Linked DNA regions of Macaca fascicularis. The protein of the gene in region 1 interacts with the protein of each later gene in a pairwise test. Links are inferred from orthologs where the notes say so. Each region holds a gene or a part of one and is shown on either strand. Other genes may lie near its edges.

Region 1 (4,240 bases):
GACAGAGCAAGACTCCATCTCAAAAAAAAAAAAAAAAAGGAAAGAAAGAAAACAGAGACAGAGAGAGTTGATGGGGCCAAATTATGCAGGCTTTGTAAAATATGTTAGGAAGTCTGGAGTGTATCCTAAGGGTGGTAGGCCGAATTAAAACAGGGGACTGGTGTGATCTGAATTGCACTCTTTTTTTCTTTAGATGGAGTCTCACTCCATCGCCCACGCTGGAGTGCAGTGGTGCGATCTCTGCTCACCGCAGCCTCCGCCTCCCAGGTTCAAGCGATTCTCCTGCCTCAGCCTCCTGAGTAGCTAGGATTACAGGAGTGCGCCAACACGCCCAGCTAATTTGTGTGTGTATGTGTGTGTTTTGTTTTTTTTTTTTTTTTGTAGAAACGGGGTTTCACCATGTTGTCCAGGCTTGTCTTGAACTCCTGACCTCGTGATCCACCCGTCTCTGCCTCCCTCACTGCTGGGACTACAGGCGTGAGCCACTGCGCCCGACCCTGAATTGCATTCTAGAAGCATCTTTCTGGCCGCCATGCCAGGGCATGAAGCCAGACCTAGATGTCTCCATGTGTCACGTGGGCAACTGAATGGATGAACACAGGACAGAGAGAGAGGAAGAGAGGTGGCCAGGCACGGTGTCTCATACCTGTGATCCCAATACTTTGGGAGGCTAGGGGAGGAGAGGGTGGATCACCTGAGGTCAGGAGTTCGAGACCAGCGTGGCCAACGTGGCGAAACCCTGTCTCTACTAAAAATACAAAAATTAGCCGAGCGTGGTGGTGCTCGCCTGTAATCCCAGCTACTCGGGGGGCTGAGGCAGGAGAACCGCTTGAACTCGGGAGGCGGAGGTTGCAGTGAACCGAGATCACGCCACTGTACTCCAGCTTGGGCGACAAAGCAAGACTCCGTCTCAGAAAAAAAGCAAAAAAAAAAAAAAAAGAAAGAAGGGGAGGGAGCCTGAACACTTAGAGGAACTGGATTTAGATTTAGCTAAGATGAGCAAACAGGAATCTGGAGAATCGTAACCAGGCAGAGGCCCCTTCTACTTCCCAACCTCCCTGGCCAGGTTTAAACTAAGCGCCTTTCCCAAGACGTTAGGGTCACCTCCGGGACTCCAGAGGGCGCTGAACCTGCTACGGCCCCTCTAGGCTCCCCCCGCTCAACTCACTGACAGAGGCGGTGTCTCCCGCGGCAGACAACGTGCACGTGCGCTCTCCAGCCGGCAGAGGGCGCGCGTGCGCAGACGGGGCCGGGGGCGCGCGCGGGGGCCGGCACCGGAAGCGTGCGGTTGCCATGTAATATCCTGGCCGCGCGGGCGCGCGAGCGGCTGAGGCGGCGCCGGGGCGGGCGCGGAGCTGGCAAGCGGCTGGCGGAGGCGGCGCCGACGGGGGCTGCTGAGGCGCGCAGAGGGTCGGCGGCGCCCGGGAGCCTGTCGCTGGCGCGGTCCGGGCGGGAGGCTCGGCGGCAGGCGGCAGCATGTCGGTGGCGGGGCTGAAGAAGCAGTTCTACAAGGCGAGCCAGGTGAGCTCAGGCCCAGGCAGGGGCCGAGTCCTGGGCCCCAGGCTGCCCGGATGAGGGGGCCAGGCCCGACCTGGCTCGGGAGGGGGCCGGAGGGACCGAGGTAGGGACGTTGGTGCGTGTCCCCCGCCGGGTGGGAAGAGCAAGGCACGGACGGGGGCGATGAGGTGGCTCAGGCCCTGCCCGCCATGCGGGCTCCAGAAGCGGGGACAGAACCCCTGGGAGGAGGGGAGAGGCACCCAGGGGCTGCCCAGGGACGCGGACCTCACCCCTCCTCCCCTCCCCTGCAAAGGCGGGGTGCGGGGAGAGAAGGGGAAGAGAGGAGTCCCGAGGCTGTCGACACAGGATTCTTGCCAGATAACCCAGAGCCAGGGAAAATTGCTTCTAGAGCAGTTCTGTTCAAAATCCTCCGGATGGGCAAGGTACAAAGTTGAAAAGGTAGAGGGAGAAGTCAGTTTCCCCTCTCTGCTCCTCGGGCAGCCAGCCCCGTCTCTCTCCCCAGAGACAGGGACTGTCATCGACTCCGTATGTCCCTTTCGTAAGATACGTGTGTGCCTTTCCTTTAAAAACACGTACACTGATAGCATTTGCCACAGAATCCTGTGTGCTGTGGTTTTCATTACTTGGAGGTCACACTGGAGCGAGATTTCTACCCCTCCGTCAGCACTGTTGACATCTGGGGCCGGATTGTTCTCCGTGGTGGGGCCATCCTGGACACTGCGGGGTGCTGAGCAGCGCCCTGGCCTCCACCCTCTCCAGGCCGGGAGCACCCCCAAGTCGTGACAACCAAAAATATCTTGAGACATCACCCTGTGTCCCCTGAGGAATAGAATCAATCTCCTTCCCTCTCTACTTTCCTTCCTTCCTTCCTCCTTTCCTCCCTCCCTGTCTCTCTCCCTTCCTTCCTTCTCTTCTTTCCTTCCTCCCTTCCTTCCCTGTCCCCCAGGACTACTGCACTAGACCATACTCCACACTTGTTGGATTTTTTTTTTTTTTTTTTTTGAGACGGAGTCACTCTCTGTCGGCCCAGCTGGAGTGCAATGGTGCAATCTCAGCTTACTGCAAGCTCCACCTCCTGGGTTCAAGCAATTCTCCTGCCTCAGCCTCCCTGGTAGCTGGAACTACAGGCATGTGCCACCGCACCCGGCTACTTTTTGTAATTTTAGCAGAGACAGGGTTTCTCCATTTGGCCCAGGCTGGTCTCGAACTCCTGGCCTCAAGTGATCCGCCTGCCTCGGCCTCCCAACGTGCTGGGATTACAGGTGTGAGCGACTGTGCTTGGCCTACTTGGATCTTTTTAATGGGTACATTGTATTTCATTCCATTAGGTGTACCATAATTTATTTAACCAGTTGTCAGTTGATAGATATTTCTGTTTACCGGAATTTTCTGCTACCATTACTACAATGAATAGCCAGTGAATATCTTTGCTCACCAGTGGGATTCGTTTTATAGGATGAATTCCCGGAAGTAGAATGTTGCATCCCAGCCTAAGTGCATTTGATTTGGACAGATAAAGGGTTTTTTGGAAAGTCCAGGACCCATTGCCCATGAATGTGGTGAAAGCTGTGGATCCACTCTCCGTAAAACTGGGCACACTTAAAATTTTCACTTTGCAACTTCAAATCTAGCAAGCCTCAAATTTGTCTGGGCACGGTGGCTCACACCTGTAATCCCAGCACTTTTGGGAGGCCGAGGTGGGAGAATCACTTGAAGCCAGGAGTTTGAGAGCAGCCTGGGCAACATGGCAAAACCCCATCTCTACTAACAGTACAAAAATTTTGTATTTTTGCCTGTAACCCCGGCTACTAAGGAGGCTGAGACAGGAGAATCTCTTGAATCCAGGAGGTAGAGGTTGCAGTGAGCCAAGATTGCGCCACTGCACTCCAGTCTGGGTGACAGAGCGAGACTCCGTCTTGGAAAAAAAAAAAAAAAAGCCTCAGATTGTTGAATCCTATTGGTCCATGCACTGCAGGGTGAGGTTGTGTGGAATTTGTGTGGATAGAGTCCACCGAGGAATGAGCAATGATGTGTTTTTTTTTTTTTTTTTTTGAGATGGAGTCACTCTGTCGCTCAGGCTGGAGTGCAGTGGAGCAATCTTGGCTCACTGGAAGCTCTGTCTCCCGGGTACACACAATTCTCCTGCCTCAGCCTCCCTTGTAGCTGGGACTACAGGTGCCGGCTACCACACCTGGCTAATTTTTTGTATTTTTAGTAGAGACGGGGTTTCACCATATTAGCTAGGATGGTCTTGATCTCTTGACCTTGTGATCTGCCCGCCTCAGCCTCCAAAGTGCTGGGATTACAGGCAGGAGCCACTGCGCCCGGCCTGAGCAATGATCTTAGCAAATGCTTGGGCCGAGGTGGCAAACAGGGTTCTCTGCCCACAGTTTGGAGAGGCCCAGTGGGAGCAAAGAGAAACAAGTCCCCAGTAACACCCAGCTGGTACCTTTTGTCCCTGGAAAGAAAAAAGTAAGGACCCTGCCAGGTGCTGTGGTTCATGCCTGTAATCCCAGCACTTTGGAGGCTGAGGCAGGGGTTCCCTTGAGTTCAGGAGTTCAAGACCAGCCTGGGCAATATAGGGAGATCTCATCCCTACAAAATATCGAAAAGTTAGCCAGGTGTGGTGATGTGCACCTGTAGTCCCAGCTACTTGGGAGGCTGAGGGGGGAGGACCACTGGAGCCCAGCAGTGCAAGGCTACAGTGAACTATGATCGTGCT
Region 2 (3,713 bases), on another chromosome or scaffold:
CTACAGCGGACCAGGAGGAGGCTTCTGCCCTGTGTCAAGCACCATCAGTTCAGCATTTCTGTTCCTGCAGGAATTTGCTGGCTTCCATTCTGAAATTTCATACATGGCGCCACATCCTGCTGTTCTGATTCTGGGCACACAAATAAACTCACAAAAAGGCCTCTGTGCTGTGGATTACAGTGAAGCTGACTTAGAGCTGGACTGCCCGGCTCTGCCGCTTACCAGCTGCTGACCTGTGCTCTGTCTTCCTAATCTGTGAAATGAGCACAGTGATGGGCTGGACTCGAAGGGTTATTATGAAGATTAAGCGAGTTAACACAGGTAAAGTGCTTAATTAAGATGGTGCCTGGTACGAGAAGTGTTAGCTGTGTTATCAGGAATATGCAGGGCGGGGGAGACAGTAGGAATGTGACTTTGGCGCTTTAAGGGTTTTAGATTTTAGGCTCTACCCACGCCTTGAATAGGACTCACCGCATTGAAAATGGGGAACAGAGCGGAAGTCTCAACCCTAACTGAACTGTTCATTTTCTGCCATGTGTGATTTCTGCGAAAGCCAACCACAGAACATAAAGACATTTACTGGAATGTCAAGGAGTCATTCCGTGTCGTTTCTTACCACTTTATCTTGGAGCTTGTGGATTTCATTGGCTCCACCCCTTCAGAAGCTGCTAGAAACAGTCAAGAAATCATTACAAGACATCCATTTTTTTGACTGTTCAAGCCTTTAAGGGTATCTCCATGCAAAATACAAAGTTAGCAAGGGGACCTGGCAGGGGGCGTGACATTACTTTTAGTCCTTTAAAAGTTTTCTCTTAATATTTGGTTCCATTTGAATTCCGGTGGTTGAATGCTGCTGAGATGATAGGTTGCAGTCAGTAGGGATAGGTGTAGTTTCATCAAGGGTCTGGCTTTGCAATGAACAGTCAGCGAATCTGAGTGCTGCGTATGCACACCATTCTGTGGTAGCCTAGCTATTGAGCGTGCTCGTCTCAAAAGACAGATGTACATCAAGGAACAACTTTGCAAGGAAGAGGAGGAAGACAGGAAGCTGAAGGAGGCCCCCAGGTGGTGAGAGAAGCATTACAAATCTAGCTGTATCAATGACAAGGTAAACGAAGAGAAACCAACACTACGATGGCCATAATATAGCTAAGTGACTTGTCTAAAGTTTAAGAGTGTTTGAATATAGTATGGAGAAACAAGATATTTGAGAGCACATGGCAAGGTGGTAAGATTATTGAGGTGTTACTGTAAACAACAAATTATTGGTCAATTTCTTATTTTTTCTTTTCTTTTTTTTTTTTTTTTTTGAGATGGAGTCTGTCTCTGTCACCCAGGCTGGAATGCAGTGGCGCGATCTCGGCTCACTGCAATCTCCGCCTCCCGGGTTCAAGCGATCTCCTGTCTCACCCTCCCGAGTAGCTGGAATTACAGGTGCCCACTACCATGCCTGGCTAATTTCTGTATTTTTTGTTTTTTTAGTAGAGGTGGAGTTTTACCATATTGGTCAGACTGGTCTCGAACTCCTGACCTCGTGATCCACCCACCTTGGCCTCCTAAAGTGCTGGGATTACAGGTGTGAGCCACCATGCCTAGTCTATTGGTGAATTTCTTAGGACACATGTGATTCTGAAAAGTTGTAGTAAGTTTTTTTTCTTACATCGTACTACATCGAATCCAAAGTCTTGTTTTCCAGAATAGAAATATTTACATAGTTTCCTTCTGATTACAAAAGTATGATGGTTTATGAGACTTAGAAATTGTTTAAAAATAGAGAGAAAAAGTATGACAGTGTGGTAATATTTTTAAGCCAACCAAATAGAAATGTGGAAAGCAGAATGAAACCTCAGTGGGATTTCCAACCCCAGGAGAACCTCTAGGAGGCCACTGTGCACACTCGATTTATGGTTTCTCTTTCACGGAGCCATGCAGTAAACTCATATAAATCAAGGATCCTTTGTTATGAACCTAATGACCTCTTCATCCCGCTAGTTTATCTGGTCTGTCCATTTAGATTTTATTAAACTAGGTTATCTAGTAAAAGCACACCTAAAACTCGGTGACCTTCCAGAATGTAGACGGATGTTCTCTCTTGCACCTGCCCTGATTTTCATGGCTCTAGTAGGTTGCCTGGAAATTACATTATCCTTTTGTGAAGAGGAAAGTACATAATTATGTTTATTTAATGCTACTTTTTAGGGAAATTGCAGAAATTGCATGGTGGTCTAGTTTTTATTTCTTCCTTTTTCTTCCTTGAACATGGCTCTATTTTGGTTTGGTTTGGGGTGAGTTACTCTGTGACATCTCAAAAATGGTATTTTCTTTTGAAATAGGTACTTTGCAGAGAGCCTTTTAATTTCTTCCTGTGACCTTTCTTTTTGCCTTTCTTTTTTCAGCCACACAGTTGGTGGTTTGTTAGGCTCTGGGGTAATCATGTGTTTGCTTAGTTGGGAGCAGGACAAACCTCTGTGAACTTTTTTTGTTTCCCTGAGATTGACCTGTATAAAGTTAGGGTTTGTTTTCTTTTTTTTGACAAAGTATCTTTAGAAATTATAGGATAGAAGTTACACAAACTCTTAACAAAGTGTGCCTCAGGTTTTCTTTTTCTGTTTTCTCCCTGAAATGAAAAGTGATACTGTATTTCCTCCTGGCTTTTTTTTTTTTTTTTAACCCGTCCTAGCCAGCGTCCACACATTTTAACATGCCACCTGAATGCGGGCTCTTTCTCTCTGTAGGTTCAGTGAACAGCATTTTGGACCGGACATTTGGTGCCAGGTCTCAGGAGCCAGTTTGCTGAATTATTGCCCCAGTCAGCCAGGATTGTGAGCTGTTCGGGAAGTTTTGTGGACACGCCCAAGTGCCAGCACAGGTGGAGGGACACCTGGAGGCCAGTTTCAGGAACTTTTGCCACAGGTATAAAAGACTCCAGAACTGCAAAGATGCTGAAACAGATACTGTCGGAGATGTACATAGATCCCGATCTACTGGCAGAGCTCAGCGAAGAACAGAAACAGATCCTGTTCTTCAAGATGAGAGAGGAACAGATCCGACGATGGAAAGAAAGAGAAGCAGCTATGGAAAGAAAGGAGTCCTTGCCAGTGAAACCCAGACCAAAGAAAGGTAAACTTAGCCACGTTTCTTTTGTGAACGTGTTGGTAGAATAACTCCTGGCTGGCTTTGACAATTTCAAACTAATCACAAGCAAAGCAAGTGCAAGTTCCAGTTTGGTAGATGAATCCTAAATGTTACTGAGAATCCAGTAGTGCAGTATATCTGCTTGAAGTCTACACACACACAGCATTCACCATGGAGTTGCATAACTGTGAGGAAATCTCTTACTTGAAATGAGACTAACCTGAAGCTGTAGTAAAAAGTCACCTATGGAGTTTGATTTGAGGGGTATTAAGAAAGGTTTCTATCTCCTTTATTGTTACTGATTCCTTATATTCTACTACCAGAACACAAAGTTCTTATATCAATATATTTATAGCAATTGTGTTTACATTTCTTAGACCTCAGAGATTTTTCTTTGAGGTATCTTTTTAGGGAACACCCTCTCTTAAAATGTAAGGAACTGCTGTAAGGAAAATAATCATAATACTATCTTTTTTTAGTGTGAATGAGTTTTTCAGATGTAAACTTTTCCTCATTACCAAAGGAATCTCTGGTAGTTTGAGAGAGTTCTTTTGAGACCATGAGGGAGGAAATCTTTG
Region 3 (3,713 bases), on another chromosome or scaffold:
CAACCTCTGCCTCCTGGTTTCAAGCAATTCTACTGCCTCAGCCTCCTGAATAGCTGGGATTACACACATGCACCACCACACCTGGCTAATTTTTGTATTTTTAGTAGAGACAGGATTTCACCATGTTGGCCAGGCTGGGCTGCCTCATTTTTATTATTCTTTGCAGACTTGGTGAGAAGTAGGGATGGAAGGCCAGGCACGGTGGCTCACACCTGTAATCCCAGCACCTTGGGAGGCCGAGGTGGGCAGACCACGAGGTCAGGAGTTCAAGACCAGCCTGACCAAAATAGTGAAACCCCACCTCTACTAAAAATACAAAAAATTAGCTGGGCGTGGTGGCGGGTGCTTGTAATCTCAGCTACTTAGGAGGCTGAGGCAGGAGAATTGCTTGAATTCGGGAGGTGGAGGTTGCAGTGAGCTGAGATGGTGCCACAGCACTCCAGTCTGGGTGACAGTGTGAGACTCCATCTCAAAAAAAAAAAAAAGGAAAGCAGGCATGGAAAATACTGTTCTTTCTTAGAACTAGGGGTGGAGGGACAAGCGGAGGCTAAGACAGCTCCTTTACTCACTTTTGAGGCTACAATAGGTAATTAGGATAAGCACTGAAACGTACATCCTTTAAAAAGTTACCTTTTGATTTGGGTAGGCAAAGGCACACAGGCGCTTATATGCATCCAATTTCTAAGACAACAGAAAACTGAGTTAGTAAGGCAAGTAAGGTTCCTACCCTTCCTCCCAGCAGTACCATCCCCAGCCTAGGCCCTCACCTGGCCTTTGGAGCTCAGCTTCAATTGTTGGCACCAGGCCCGCAGAATGTCCCGGTGAATCAGATTAACAGGTGGCAGTTTAGAGGGTAATGGAGGGATTGGTATCTTCCTCTGAGGTCTGGGGTTGTCACTGCACTCTGCCTTCTTCTTAGGACAGAGCACTGAAGGAGAATGGAATCAAATTAGTAGTAATTAACTTTGTGTACCTTTTCAGAATTTCAAAAGTAAAATCACTGTTTTTTTTTTTTTTTTTTGAGAGTCTTGCTTTGTCGCCCGGCTGGAGCGCAGTGGCGCAATCTTGGCTCCCTGTAACCTCCGCCTCCTGGGTTCAAGCGATTCTCCTGCCTCAGCCTCCTGAGAAGCTGGGATTACAGATGCCCACCACCACGCCCGGCTAATTTTTTTTCTATTTTTAGTGGAGGTGAAGTTTCACCATGTTGGCCAAGCTGGTCTCGAACTCCTGAACTTGTGATCTGCCCACCTAGGCCTCCCAAAGTGCTAGGATTACAGGCCTAAGCCACCGCGCCCGGCCTAAAATCAGTTTTAGTTATTAATAGTTCAATCCCTCTCAAACCTAGGACTTACCACTTCTAAATCCCAGTTTTATTCCTCAATCTCCCCACTACTCAGGTACACGTGCTCCTTTGTGAACCCTTTAGTCCACAGAACCCAGGTGGTGGCACCGGAGATGCCACTTCCATCCCAGGGGAATTATCACTGTCTTAGACTTGAGATCATACCTTTGTGAACCCCTTAATCCACAGAACCCAGGTGGTGGCACCAGAGATGGCACTTCCACCCGAGGGGAATTACCGCTGTCTTAGACTTGAGATCATACTCAGTGGTGTCCTCTACACACAGAGCAAACTCAACACCTGACAATACTACACAGGCAACCACTAATATTCCTAATTCTGCCAGCCCACCCTAGTCAGGGCAGCACTCTGGTTTCATAGCAGGTATGCTTCCTTAGCTGAGCTGTGTTTCTGTTCATCCTGCTTCTGCACCTCACATACCTTGTCTTCATTCAGTAAAGATATTTGGCTAGGCACAGTGGCTCACACTGTAATCCCAGCACTTTGGGAGGCCGAGGTGGGGGGATAACCTGAGGTCAGGAGTTTGAGACCAGCATGGCCAACATGGTGAAATGCTGTCTCTACTAAAAAAAAAAAAAAAAATTCGCTGGGCATGATGGCACATGCCTGTAATCTCAGTTACTTGGGAGGCTGAGGCTGGATAACTGTTTGAATCCGGGAGGCAGAGGTTTTAGTGGGCCAGGATCATGCCAAAAAAATGTCTAAGGCTGGGTCTGGTGGCTTACACCTGTAATCCCAGCACTTTAGGAGGCCAAGGCAGATGGGTCACTTGAGGCCAAGAGTTCACAACCAGCCTGGCCAATATGGTAAAATCCCGTCTCTACTAAAAATACAAAAATCAGCCAGGCATGGTGGCACACGCCTGCAATCCTAGCTAACTTGGGAGGCTAAGACAGGACAATCGCTTGAACCAGGGAGGCAGAGGTTGCAGGGAACTGAGATGGTGCCACCACACTCTAGCCTGGATGACAGACCAACACCCTGTCTTGGTGTCTCAAAAAAAAAGACACAGCCTGTAATGACACTTAGAGTTAGTAGGGTTTACTGTGTACATATTACTTCTTTTTTTTTTTTTTTTTTTGAGACAGAGTCTTGCTCTGTCGCCCAGGCTGGAGCGCAGTGGCCGGATCTCGGCCCACTGCAAGCTCCGCCTCCCGGGTTTACGCCATTCTCCTGCCTCAGCCTCCCGAGTAGCTGGGACTACAGTTGCCCGCCACCTCGCCCGGCTAGTTTTTTTTTTTTTGTATTTTTTAGTAGAGACGGGGTTTCACTGTGTTAGCCAGGATGGTCTCGATCTCCTGACCTCGTGATCCGCCCGTCTCGGCCTCCCAAAGTGCTGGGATTACAGGCTTGAGCCACCGCGCCCGGCCATTACTTCTTAGGCATAGTGTAAGTACTTCACTTAATTATTCTATGTAAATTTTAACACTCCATTCCCACACCCGAATAAAGGTAGATATTGTTCAAACTTATTTTTAGAATAGGTAGTCCGGTTTCAAGAATGGGTCTTCAAATTTACAGCTGTCTGTTCCCAAATCATTGCACATTGAAATTCTTAACTCCAAGTAGCAAGTGAAGGAAAAAATGATCAACAGAACCAAATATGCTGTGGAAGTCTGAAGATAGGAAGGGATCGGTTAGGGCAATGGTGACCAAAAGATGCTTCAGGAAGGTGCAGTTTAAGCTAGACTCCCATGAACTGTAGGATTTGCAAAATATATGACGGAAATTTCTTCCCTGGCTTTTCTTCTTCAGAAAAATTCCTCTGGCTTCTAAGACCTGAGAAAGTGGGATTTGAGGATTTGAAGACCTCTTACCTTTATTGCCTTTGACAGACTTTTTTTCTTTGGTTCCCTTTGCTGATGTTCCTGGCAAAGCAATCATGTTTGGTTGATTAGAAGTTTGCTGATCCTCTTCCCTCGACTTCTCTGTGGAGGTCTACTGGGAACAGAGGAGCTGGTCAGTCATTCCTCCAGTGTCCAAACCACACATACACTACCTGCCTCAAGATAACTCACTTCTAAGGCACCAAGGCAGTCACTGGACTCCACTGGCAGTGTGGATTCTCCTCTGGGTATCATCTTAATACACACTGTCATGCAGGCCAGGCGTTGTGGCTCACGCCTGTAATCCAAGTGCTTTAGGAGGACAAGGCAAGAGGATCGCTTGAGTCCAGTAGTTGGATACCAGCCTGAGCAACAACAAGTGAAACCTTGCCTCTACAAAAAGGAAACAAGATTAGCTGAGCATGGTGGTACATGCCTGTAGCCCGAGCTACTCAAGAGACTGAGGTAGGAGAATCACTTGAGCCAGGGAGGTAGGTAGAGGCTGCATCGCTGCACTCCAACCT

What was found.
Region 2: the proteins of SH3GL1 (region 1) and SH2D4A interact in binary tests that used the Homo sapiens proteins (3 or more experiments, as listed by UniProt). The two-hybrid records come from large-scale screens. The link is inferred for Macaca fascicularis from reciprocal best matches to the Homo sapiens genes SH3GL1 and SH2D4A.
Region 3: the proteins of SH3GL1 (region 1) and DPPA4 interact in binary tests that used the Homo sapiens proteins (3 or more experiments, as listed by UniProt). The link is inferred for Macaca fascicularis from reciprocal best matches to the Homo sapiens genes SH3GL1 and DPPA4.

The regions. Positions count from the first base shown.
Region 1 is NC_088393.1:5,136,332-5,140,571, reverse strand, and holds the start of SH3GL1 (endophilin-A2), read left to right. Parts: upstream 1-1,329; 5' UTR 1,330-1,476; coding exon 1,477-1,521; intron 1,522-4,240. UniProt on the Homo sapiens protein: Implicated in endocytosis. May recruit other proteins to membranes with high curvature.
Region 2 is NC_088382.1:22,384,154-22,387,866, forward strand, and holds part of SH2D4A (SH2 domain-containing protein 4A), read left to right. Parts: intron 1-2,735; 5' UTR 2,736-2,939; coding exon 2,940-3,120; intron 3,121-3,713. UniProt on the Homo sapiens protein: Inhibits estrogen-induced cell proliferation by competing with PLCG for binding to ESR1, blocking the effect of estrogen on PLCG and repressing estrogen-induced proliferation. May play a role in T-cell development and function.
Region 3 is NC_088376.1:173,735,854-173,739,566, reverse strand, and holds part of DPPA4 (developmental pluripotency-associated protein 4), read right to left. Parts: intron 3,305-3,713; exon of another isoform or gene 3,302-3,304; coding exon 3,181-3,301; intron 929-3,180; coding exon 768-928; intron 682-767; coding exon 631-681; intron 1-630. UniProt on the Homo sapiens protein: May be involved in the maintenance of active epigenetic status of target genes. May inhibit differentiation of embryonic cells into a primitive ectoderm lineage.